Linked DNA regions of Danio rerio. The protein of the gene in region 2 interacts with the protein of the main gene of each other region in a biochemical or structural test. Links are inferred from orthologs where the notes say so. Each region holds a gene or a part of one and is shown on either strand. Other genes may lie near its edges.

Evidence for each region.
Region 1: of the proteins of prmt1 (region 2) and fbl, one has a biochemical effect on the other in vitro, tested with the Homo sapiens proteins (2 studies listed by BioGRID). The link is inferred for Danio rerio from reciprocal best matches to the Homo sapiens genes PRMT1 and FBL.

What each region holds. Positions count from the first base shown.
Region 1 is NC_133191.1:46,605,968-46,610,364, forward strand, and holds the start of fbl (rRNA 2'-O-methyltransferase fibrillarin), read right to left. Parts: upstream 3,079-4,397; 5' UTR 2,987-3,078; coding exon 2,977-2,986; intron 1,266-2,976; coding exon 1,158-1,265; intron 1-1,157.
Region 2 is NC_133178.1:31,171,937-31,176,513, forward strand, and holds the start of prmt1 (protein arginine N-methyltransferase 1), read right to left. Parts: upstream 2,848-4,577; 5' UTR 2,757-2,847; coding exon 2,730-2,756; intron 1,751-2,729; coding exon 1,655-1,750; intron 1,564-1,654; coding exon 1,408-1,563; intron 1,276-1,407; coding exon 1,212-1,275; intron 839-1,211; coding exon 696-838; intron 590-695; coding exon 502-589; intron 410-501; coding exon 294-409; intron 208-293; coding exon 57-207; intron 1-56. UniProt on the Homo sapiens protein: Arginine methyltransferase that methylates (mono and asymmetric dimethylation) the guanidino nitrogens of arginyl residues present in proteins such as ESR1, histone H2, H3 and H4, FMR1, ILF3, HNRNPA1, HNRNPD, NFATC2IP, SUPT5H, TAF15, EWS, HABP4, SERBP1, RBM15, FOXO1, CHTOP, MAP3K5/ASK1, MICU1 and NPRL2.

The DNA.
Region 1 (4,397 bases), on a different chromosome or scaffold from region 2:
ATGGCAAACTTGGTCGACAAACTTGGTTGGTAAAAAAGGTGCACAACCAACAGCAACTAACCAACAGTATCTGAGGTTTTCGCTAAAATTACAAGCATGAAAGCAAAAGATTGAAGCAGTGTACTGATGCTGTGACACGTTACCTGATAGATTCAAAAGACCGAAGAGTCGTTAGATTAGAGACAGGACTAAATAAACATCACATTTAACAACTATAGCGAGACAAGATCCAATGCTACATCCTTGATAAACTGTCCGATGTGCACTGCTCTCTGGGGGTGACTGCTGGAGCTCAGCGTTAAGACGCGTGTATAGCCTACACTGCAGCGCATGACAGAGTGTGCTTGTGTGTGTTTGTGGTCATGTTATGTGCGTTTTCAGGGGTATAATGTGGAAGCGCTAGATGAAACGCCAGTTTACATGGATCGTTTTCGTTCTAAAATGCCATTTGTAAACGGGGCCTGAGTGTGTATTTTTTGCGAGCAGATTTGCGACAGGGGTGGAGGATTGTGATGTCTATCGGTCATCGACAATGGATGATGGCATCATCTATCAACCCAACCCTACTTGATAATGTAGATTTTAGACTAAAGCAGCTAATATTAATTTACAATGAGGAAGGGCAGAGGGTTGCTGAAGAACTACTGAGAGATTTCAACTGCTGCCTGGGCTTTCACTGTGGTTCCCTTTCTTCATGTGTTCAATACTTTTTCCCTGCTCACTTCATTTTATTTGGCATAACCTAATTTGTAAACTAATTAGATTTGTTTTACATATATGGATTTTTTGCTTGTTACTAACATCCAGGGAAAGATTCAAGTCAACAGCACCTTTAGAAATACATTTTCCAAAAAAAAAAAAATGGTGATGCGTTCAATGCTTAATATCCACGCTCTATTTATCTATCTATCTTTCAAACCATTGTTAGTGCGAAGGAAATAATCATTTAATATGTAGTATAATTGTAAAATCATTCATCATTTTATAAATTAAGCCAGAGTACTGTTTTTTTATAAAATACACTTTGCTAAAATGTAATACGATTTTCTACACATTTAAAATCACTTTTAAATTCTTTTTTAAAAAAAGCCATAAGGCACATGCAATATATATATATATATGGGAGTAAAATAAAACTGCTTTAATATCCTGCTTACCAAAACCACCCCTGCCTCCTCGAAATCCTCCTCTTCCTCCGCGGTCTCCTCCGCCTCGTCCCCTTCCACCAAATCCTCCACGACCACCACCTCCCCTTGGGCTGAATCCTGAAGAGAAATATTACTTTGATGAAGGGAAAGAGCAAAACATTTAAAAGAAAAGGAGAAAAAACGCATTTGTGGATCATACTATTACTAAACCAGTTTAAAGTTGCAAGTGACTCCTTACAATAACCAGAAAAACATTTTTTATAGTTTCTTGTTTTCACCGGGTGGTATGGTAGAGCACATTTTTAACTTTGCACTGTCCGAAGTACCAAAAACAAGTCTGCTGTACTGCATTTATGGAAACTTTTAATAAATCAAAATTGCATTCACACAAATTTATGAAATCCATTAGTAACCACATTTGGGCCTGAAGACATACAAAAACAAAACATTCATTTTGTAAAAAGCTAAAACTTTCCAAATGCTTAAAAAGCCTCAAAATATTAACTTTTTTTAATGGTTACATTTGTAGCATATATATTTGGTACAGAACCAATTAAAAGAAGTTACTTTTCATTTCGTGTCATTTTAGAATGAATTACTATTAGGTGTCAAAAACGTTTCGTAAAAAATATAAAAGTTTAGTCAGAATCCATATAAAAACTTTAATCCATATAAAATCAATTAAATCCATATTAAAAAATTTAGTCTATCTTTAATATTTAATATAAAAAATAATTGCAAAAACCTTTTCTGCATTCACTCAATGAACAGCTGCTGTTCAGACAACATGGTTTTAGTTGATGTTTCATAAATACAAAATAACCCTTCTCTTGGCAAATAAGAAGTCGAATGTCATGATATTAGAGCGCTAAATGACAGCATTAAGAGGGTTAAATGATTGAAAAAGTTTATATTCACACATTCATTCAGTGACAACTTGTGACATGTTTCCTATATTGTTTACTATAACGTTTGTACTTTTAATATTCGGTCTGAAATTACAAGCAAGTATGACTCGAATACATTGACACTGTATTTGACTGTAAATAACACAAGCACTACGCATTTAACTGTGAGCAATATTGTACTTTGATAGTCACTCGCTGCTAAAATGATTTCATTATTTAGAATTTGCAAATAATATTTTTGAGAAAGTCCCTGTGTGTGAATGTAAAACTAACTTTACCTCAAGTCCATGTGAATATACCCCACTTTTGGAGACCACACAACAAACAACAGTTACATCTCGCTCAAAATACATTCTGTTTTGGGTGTATTTATGTCTTTGTTCATCCACAACAACAAAACTACTTATTGTACAAGAGGAAAAAACGTGTATTCCTCTAACGTTACTTCTAATAACTCGACAACGCACAAACTCAAATGTACAAAAAGTTGAATAAAGTTACACAAAACTCACCATTTAAAATAAAACACATTAACTAGACAACTAGTTTCAGAAACAAAAGCAAACTGGTTATTATCTCTAACTAGTTAAAAGCCATGTGGGGCTTCAGCACCGCGTGTAACAGCATGGCTCGGTCGCACGCACGTGCAGCGTTGTAACATGTGTAACGTTATTTACATGTACAAAAATAACGTTATTTACAACAAAATCACTTTTTAACAATTCTACACCAAAGCTTGTAATAAATTAAATAACAATGCCATGACATTTAAAGAGAACGAGCGTTTCTTTCACAAAACTGCAAGTGCGTGGCTAACTCATCCGGCTAACTCTAAACCAACACTTATAAACAGCGTTACTTGGATTATATTTTATAGCGTTGACTTTAGCTTTTAAAATCGAAATGTGTACATAACTTACCTGGTCTCATTTTATCTTATTTTGTGCGGTTGTTTTAACTGTACGAATAGCTGGCGTTAACTCAGACCCGCTTTTCCTCCGGTCTACTGCTGCACTGATCAGGTGGCCACATGTGCGTCGAACGTCTTTACCCACAATGCACTTGAAAAAAAGTCGTGATTTTACTCGTTGTTTCGCCATCTAGCGGGAAACATTGCAGCTACAATCATGAATCTGCTGCCTTCATGAGCCCTTTCAGTTCAATTCCCAGAGACTTTTCGGCTATTTGCTACTAAATGGTGAGGACTAACGATAAAATCAACAACACTACTAATACAATCTAATATAGGCTAGTTTTCTGCTTAAATTAATACACAGCGGATGCCCTTCCAGCTGCAACCCAGTACAGGGAAACATCAATATACACACTCAAACTCGACCACCCGGAGGAAACCCACAGGGAACACGGGGAGAACATGCAAACTCCAGAACTGACCCAACCGGGACTCGAACCAGCGACCTTTTTGCTGTGAAGGGACAGCGCTACAGCCACTGTGCCACCATCGGTTTATTCCATATTGTAAAAAGTTCCCTTATATTATTCCATTGTCTTTCAAGGTATACAGGTGAAGTATGATTTTAAGATTTTATCCGGGTCTTACAAACTGGATGACTGCTCTCTAAAAAAAGTTGAGTTATTTATTTAACCCAATTGTTGAGTTAAAAATTTTTAGTACTTAGTTGGGTTATATTTAACCTTTATTTAATCATTCATGAATAACTCAACTAGTTGGGTTAAATGCTTGGTGCCTTGTTGGGTTATTTATTTATTTATTTTTTGGTTATTTATTTAATAACTCAACTAATTGGGTGTAAAGATGCAATTCAAATTAAATGAAATATATTTTCTAACTTAAATGAATACAAATGTATGAGTGTACATTTAGGTAATGTATAGGTACAGTTAAAGAAATCTTATAAAATGTATCTTAAATAAATCTTAGTCTTATCTTAAATCCCTCACTCATCATTGTGTTGTCCACTCGTAGGCTCAAGGCATATCTTTGTTTTTAAGTCTATTCTGGGTTTATTCCCCTCATATCTATAAACTTACATTTGTAAAAAAAAAACAAAAAAAAAAAACTCTCTAGCTATAGTCTTTGGCCTCAGGAAGTGTATTTGGGCCATTTCTTCAACTACTGGCACTTTTAGCCTTGTAAAGTTGAGTAAAAAAATGGTTAAAAATTATCGTAACATAGCCACATAAGTTTAAACAGTTTGTCTAGTTTTACGATCTGTAAGAGGACCAACTTAGATAAGAAGAGAAACATTTTTTCATGGTGAACTGAACAAATATCAATTCCATCACATCTCAATATACAGCTTATTTCAAAATGTAATTAATTATGGCAGTCAAACATTGTCTAAAATCATTTTTGTAT
Region 2 (4,577 bases):
TAAACTCGTGGTGAATACAAAGTGATTTTGTGGTGAACACCACACACAGCACTTACTGGTAGAGAAGCCTGTCCTCTTGTGGCAGCGAGTGAACTCTATGTTGAAGTAGGTTACCAGAGCATGAATGTAGTCGTTTCTTTTCACCTGCAGGCAGAAAGGTGACGTGAAGGACAGGTCCTCAATCTTCACGGTGTAGATGTCCACCTCCTAAGGAATCAAGAAAACGTATTGAATATTAAATGAGGAAAGCAGGGATTATGTGAACATTGGAAAATAAAAGGTTGCAAACAAACCTTAATTAAGCAAGCAGTGCTAACAAGCTGTTTGGGATCAACAACATCCACCAGCGGCTCTGTAATGGCCACTTCCTTAATACAGGACATGTCAAATCCATACACGTTCTCCCACCCTAAAAAAGTGCAAATATGAAACAATTAAATGAGTTACTGCTTTAAAGAAAGCTGAACAGACTCAAGAGTGCATTAAGAGATTGATGCGTACAGTGGATTTTGTAATCCTTGTACTGCCGATCCTCGATAGCAGTGACATAGAGGGTGGCTCTGTCAGGAAAAATCAGGCCATCAGGTTTCTGAAAGCCAACAATGGAAAACGTGAACAGTGATTAAATCAAGAAAGCACATACGATTTTATACTGAACAGTTTCAACATGGTAAAAGACATTAGCATACACCCACCAGCCATTTGTCCCTGGCATAAATGACGGTGTTAAGCATGGATTCATAGAAGAGACAGTAGCCCATCCACTCAGAGATGATTATGTCTACATTTTCCACAGGAAGCTCGACCTCCTCCACTTTGCCCTTAATTATAGTGACGACTGGACAGGAAAAAGTACATGGTTAAAAATTTTAGGTACATAAAGAATAAAATGGGTATAGGCCAAAACTGTTAATCCAAAACTGAAAATGGTCATTGTTTAACCTCCCCTCACTCATTCTAAACCTGTGATTTTCTTCTGTTGAACACAAAAGATGATATTTTGAAGAAAGATGCAAACCTGTCACTACGGTTACCAGTTTACAGCTTTCTTCAAAATATCTTCTTTGGTGTTCAACAGGAAAAAAAGAAACTGATAGGTTTAGAACCACTTGAGAGGGAGTAAAACTTCATTTTTGGGTGAACTATCCCTTGAAACATGCTGAGAAAATAAGTTAACAATGAAGATGCCAAAAGCTCTGAGAAGGCCTTACTATGATCCAGCTTGTTGGCCTTCACAATCTTCACAGCATAGTCTGATATACTGCTGCACTCAATCTAAGGAATAAATGACCAACAAATTAATAAATTAATCTGACAATACACAGCATGATCAAATAATACCACATACAAATAAATGGCTTAAATGTAACAAAAATGCTTTAAATAAATCATGGGACTACTTCTCACCCCAATAACTTTCTTGGCTCCAGCTTTGGCTGCAAACATACAGAGGATGCCAGTACCACTTCCCACATCCAGCACAACTTTATCTTTGAAGAGATGCTTGTTGTGAAACATGGAGTTTCTGTACGTCAAAGTACGAACTTCATCTTTTAGCATCTCCTGTGAAGATTCAATGGGTTTACATTAATTATAAATAAATTAAATTGACTTCACCACTAATGCTGAGATTAATGAACTAACAAGAAAGTACCTCATGAATGCCAAAGTGTGCATAGGAATCAAAGTAATAGTCTTTGGACGTCATGTCTTCAGCTGCAGGTTTCGCTGAGCTCTCTCCCTGGGACACCTCAATTTCAATAGATAAGAAAAATGTAAATAAGCAAGTAAAGTCATGAGCTGGGCTTTTCTCAAACATTTGCAGTATCTTCAGTATATTAAAACAAACAAGCAAGCAATAAGGTACTAGTCAAGAGATGACCCAAAACATGTTTAAACCAAACATGCCAAGTGTAAATAACCCTGAGTAAACAGTGTTTTTACACAGAACTACATAAAGTCGGTGGCTTCCTCTGAATTTAGTTCCAACTTTTGGCAAATATCACAGCAGGCAATGAACCATTTTACACATTTTTTTTTAAAATGGATAGTTAAGCAAAAAAAGTCATATTTTATCTTCACACGCCTAACGTTAACCTTTGAAGAGTCCTCTTAAGCTTAAATTTTTCTACTTTTTAATTATACACATTTGAGGAAAAGTGGTCTAAAAGAAAACTTAGTCACGACGCAAGTACTAGATCATAGTAAACAATACAGGATGTTTTATTAAAAAACCCAATCACTGTGATTAGCAGAGAGGAAAAAAAAGCGTAACGTTAGCTCCTATCCATCAGTCCCATGCGGTCTCTGCCCAACAATAAGTCATTGAAGTCCTCCGCCAGCGTGCTCACGTGGAAACTGAACAGCGAGCTAACGGTAGCTAACATGACAGAAATATTCATACATTTAATCTCAAAATTCATCTGTGGTTACACTCAACAACTAAAAACTCGAAGCTAGCTCAAATTTAGCACATTAGCACTAGCATACACGTGATGCGAAATGAATGAATTATCTGCGGCAGGCTAAAATGGATGCTCAAGATGCGTGTGCGCACATTTCTAGCCACCTGATAACTACATACGCAGCAATCAAATCTGTTCACAGACCAAAGATTCGGAACCGGCGTGTGACGTAAATAAAATCGCCGTGTCGATTCTGATACGGTTACGAGATATTTAGCATCAGAAGCGTTTTTGGCGAACCGGCCTTGAGTAGCTTCAGCTTACCTCCATTCTGTCTGCCGTCTCCGCCATTTCGATAAACTGGACACAGCCGCGACTGCAGCAAAGCTCATGTAAAACACACTTGTTTTGCTCCCGCCTCTTTGCTGTGACTGTATGATTTGATTGGGTGACAATCACGTGGTTTTACAATAACCACACCCACTTTCCTGCGGCTCTTCGTCATAGGCTTTTCTACTATGCGTTTTTCCGCTCTTTTGATGCGTGACTGTCATTGGTCCAAACTGTAACATGATTATTATTTATTTATTTTATCTCAAATATTATTTTACAGAATTTTACTGTGAATCCAACATTTATTATTTTGGGTTGTAGATACAAATTTAATGTCTGCTTCACAATAAACCCTATTCTATTTTTATGTAAATTTTATATTCATTTATTCGTTTTCCTTCTGCTTAGTCCCTTTATTAATCCGGGGTCGCCACAACGGAATGAACCGCCAACTTATCCAGCAAGTTTTTACGCAGCAAATGCCCTTCCAGCTGCAACCCATCTCTGGGAAACATCCACACATGCATTCACACACGCACTCACACACTATGGACAATTTAGCCTACCCAATTCACCTGCACCGCATGTCTTTAGACTCTGGGGGAAACCGGAGCACCCGGAGGAAACCCACGCAAACGCAGGGAGAACATGCAAACTCCACACAGAAACGCCAACTGAGCCAAGGCTCGAACCAGCGACCCAGCAACCTTCTTGCTGTGAGGCGACAGCACTACCTACTGCGCCACTGCTTCGCCCTGCCTATATTTTATATTTATAAATAAAATTTTCAAATATAAAATCCACTTGTGTATTTTATACAAGAGATCAAAATTTACTTACAATTCCAGATTCACTTAACAAGAATGCACTCAAAACGTAAACAATTTGCACAACATGTGTAATCTATTAAATATCCCAATCTTTGTTATCTTTTTTATTTTGCCCTTTTTATTTTCAATTTCATTATCTGTTGCATCTATTCTCAGATTAGATAACCTATTGATATCATATTTCTTTGTTTTGATTTCTGTTGTTTTTTGTTCTTGTGTTGTTTCTTTATTGGTACCATTGTAAATAATATAATTATTATTGTAAATGTTATGTACCAAATGTATCTATATGTTGTACAATAAATATGAAAAAATATTTTATTTTGCACAAGTTTCTGTATTCCATTTTATTTCTGTTTATGGAACACAGTGGCTTAGTGGTTAGCACTGTCGTCTCACAGTAAGAAGGTCGCTGGTTTGAGCCCCAGCTGGGTCAGTTGGCATTTCTGTGTGAAGCTTGCATGTTCTCCCTGTGTTGGCGTTGGTTTCCTCCTGGTGTTCCGGTTTCCCCCATAGACCAAAGCCATGTGTTATAGGTGGATTGAATAAATTAAATTGGTGTAGTGTATGAGTGTGAATGAGTGTGTATGGATGTTTCCTGGTACTAGGTTGCAGCTGGAAGGGCATCCGCTGTATAAAACATATGTTGGATAAGTTGGCGGTTCATTCTGCTGTGGCGTCCCCTGATGAATAAAGGGACTAAGATGAAGGAGAATGAATGAATTATGGTTTCATTGTTTTCATGTAAATTTTATTAGTTGGACTTTTGTCAAGCTAATAGAAAAGCTTACAAAATCTTTTTAGGAAACCATCCTTTAGTCATGTGTTTTGTTCACAAAATAAACTATATGGTTATAATTATACAAAGTAAGCAAAGTTTGCAAAGTAAGCACATTTCTAAAAAAAAGAAGGCATTGATAAAATAGGAGACAATAATGATTATTTACAAAACAACATCTGGAGAAAATGGATGTTTGTACATTATCATACTATGGGATTTAGCTCAGAT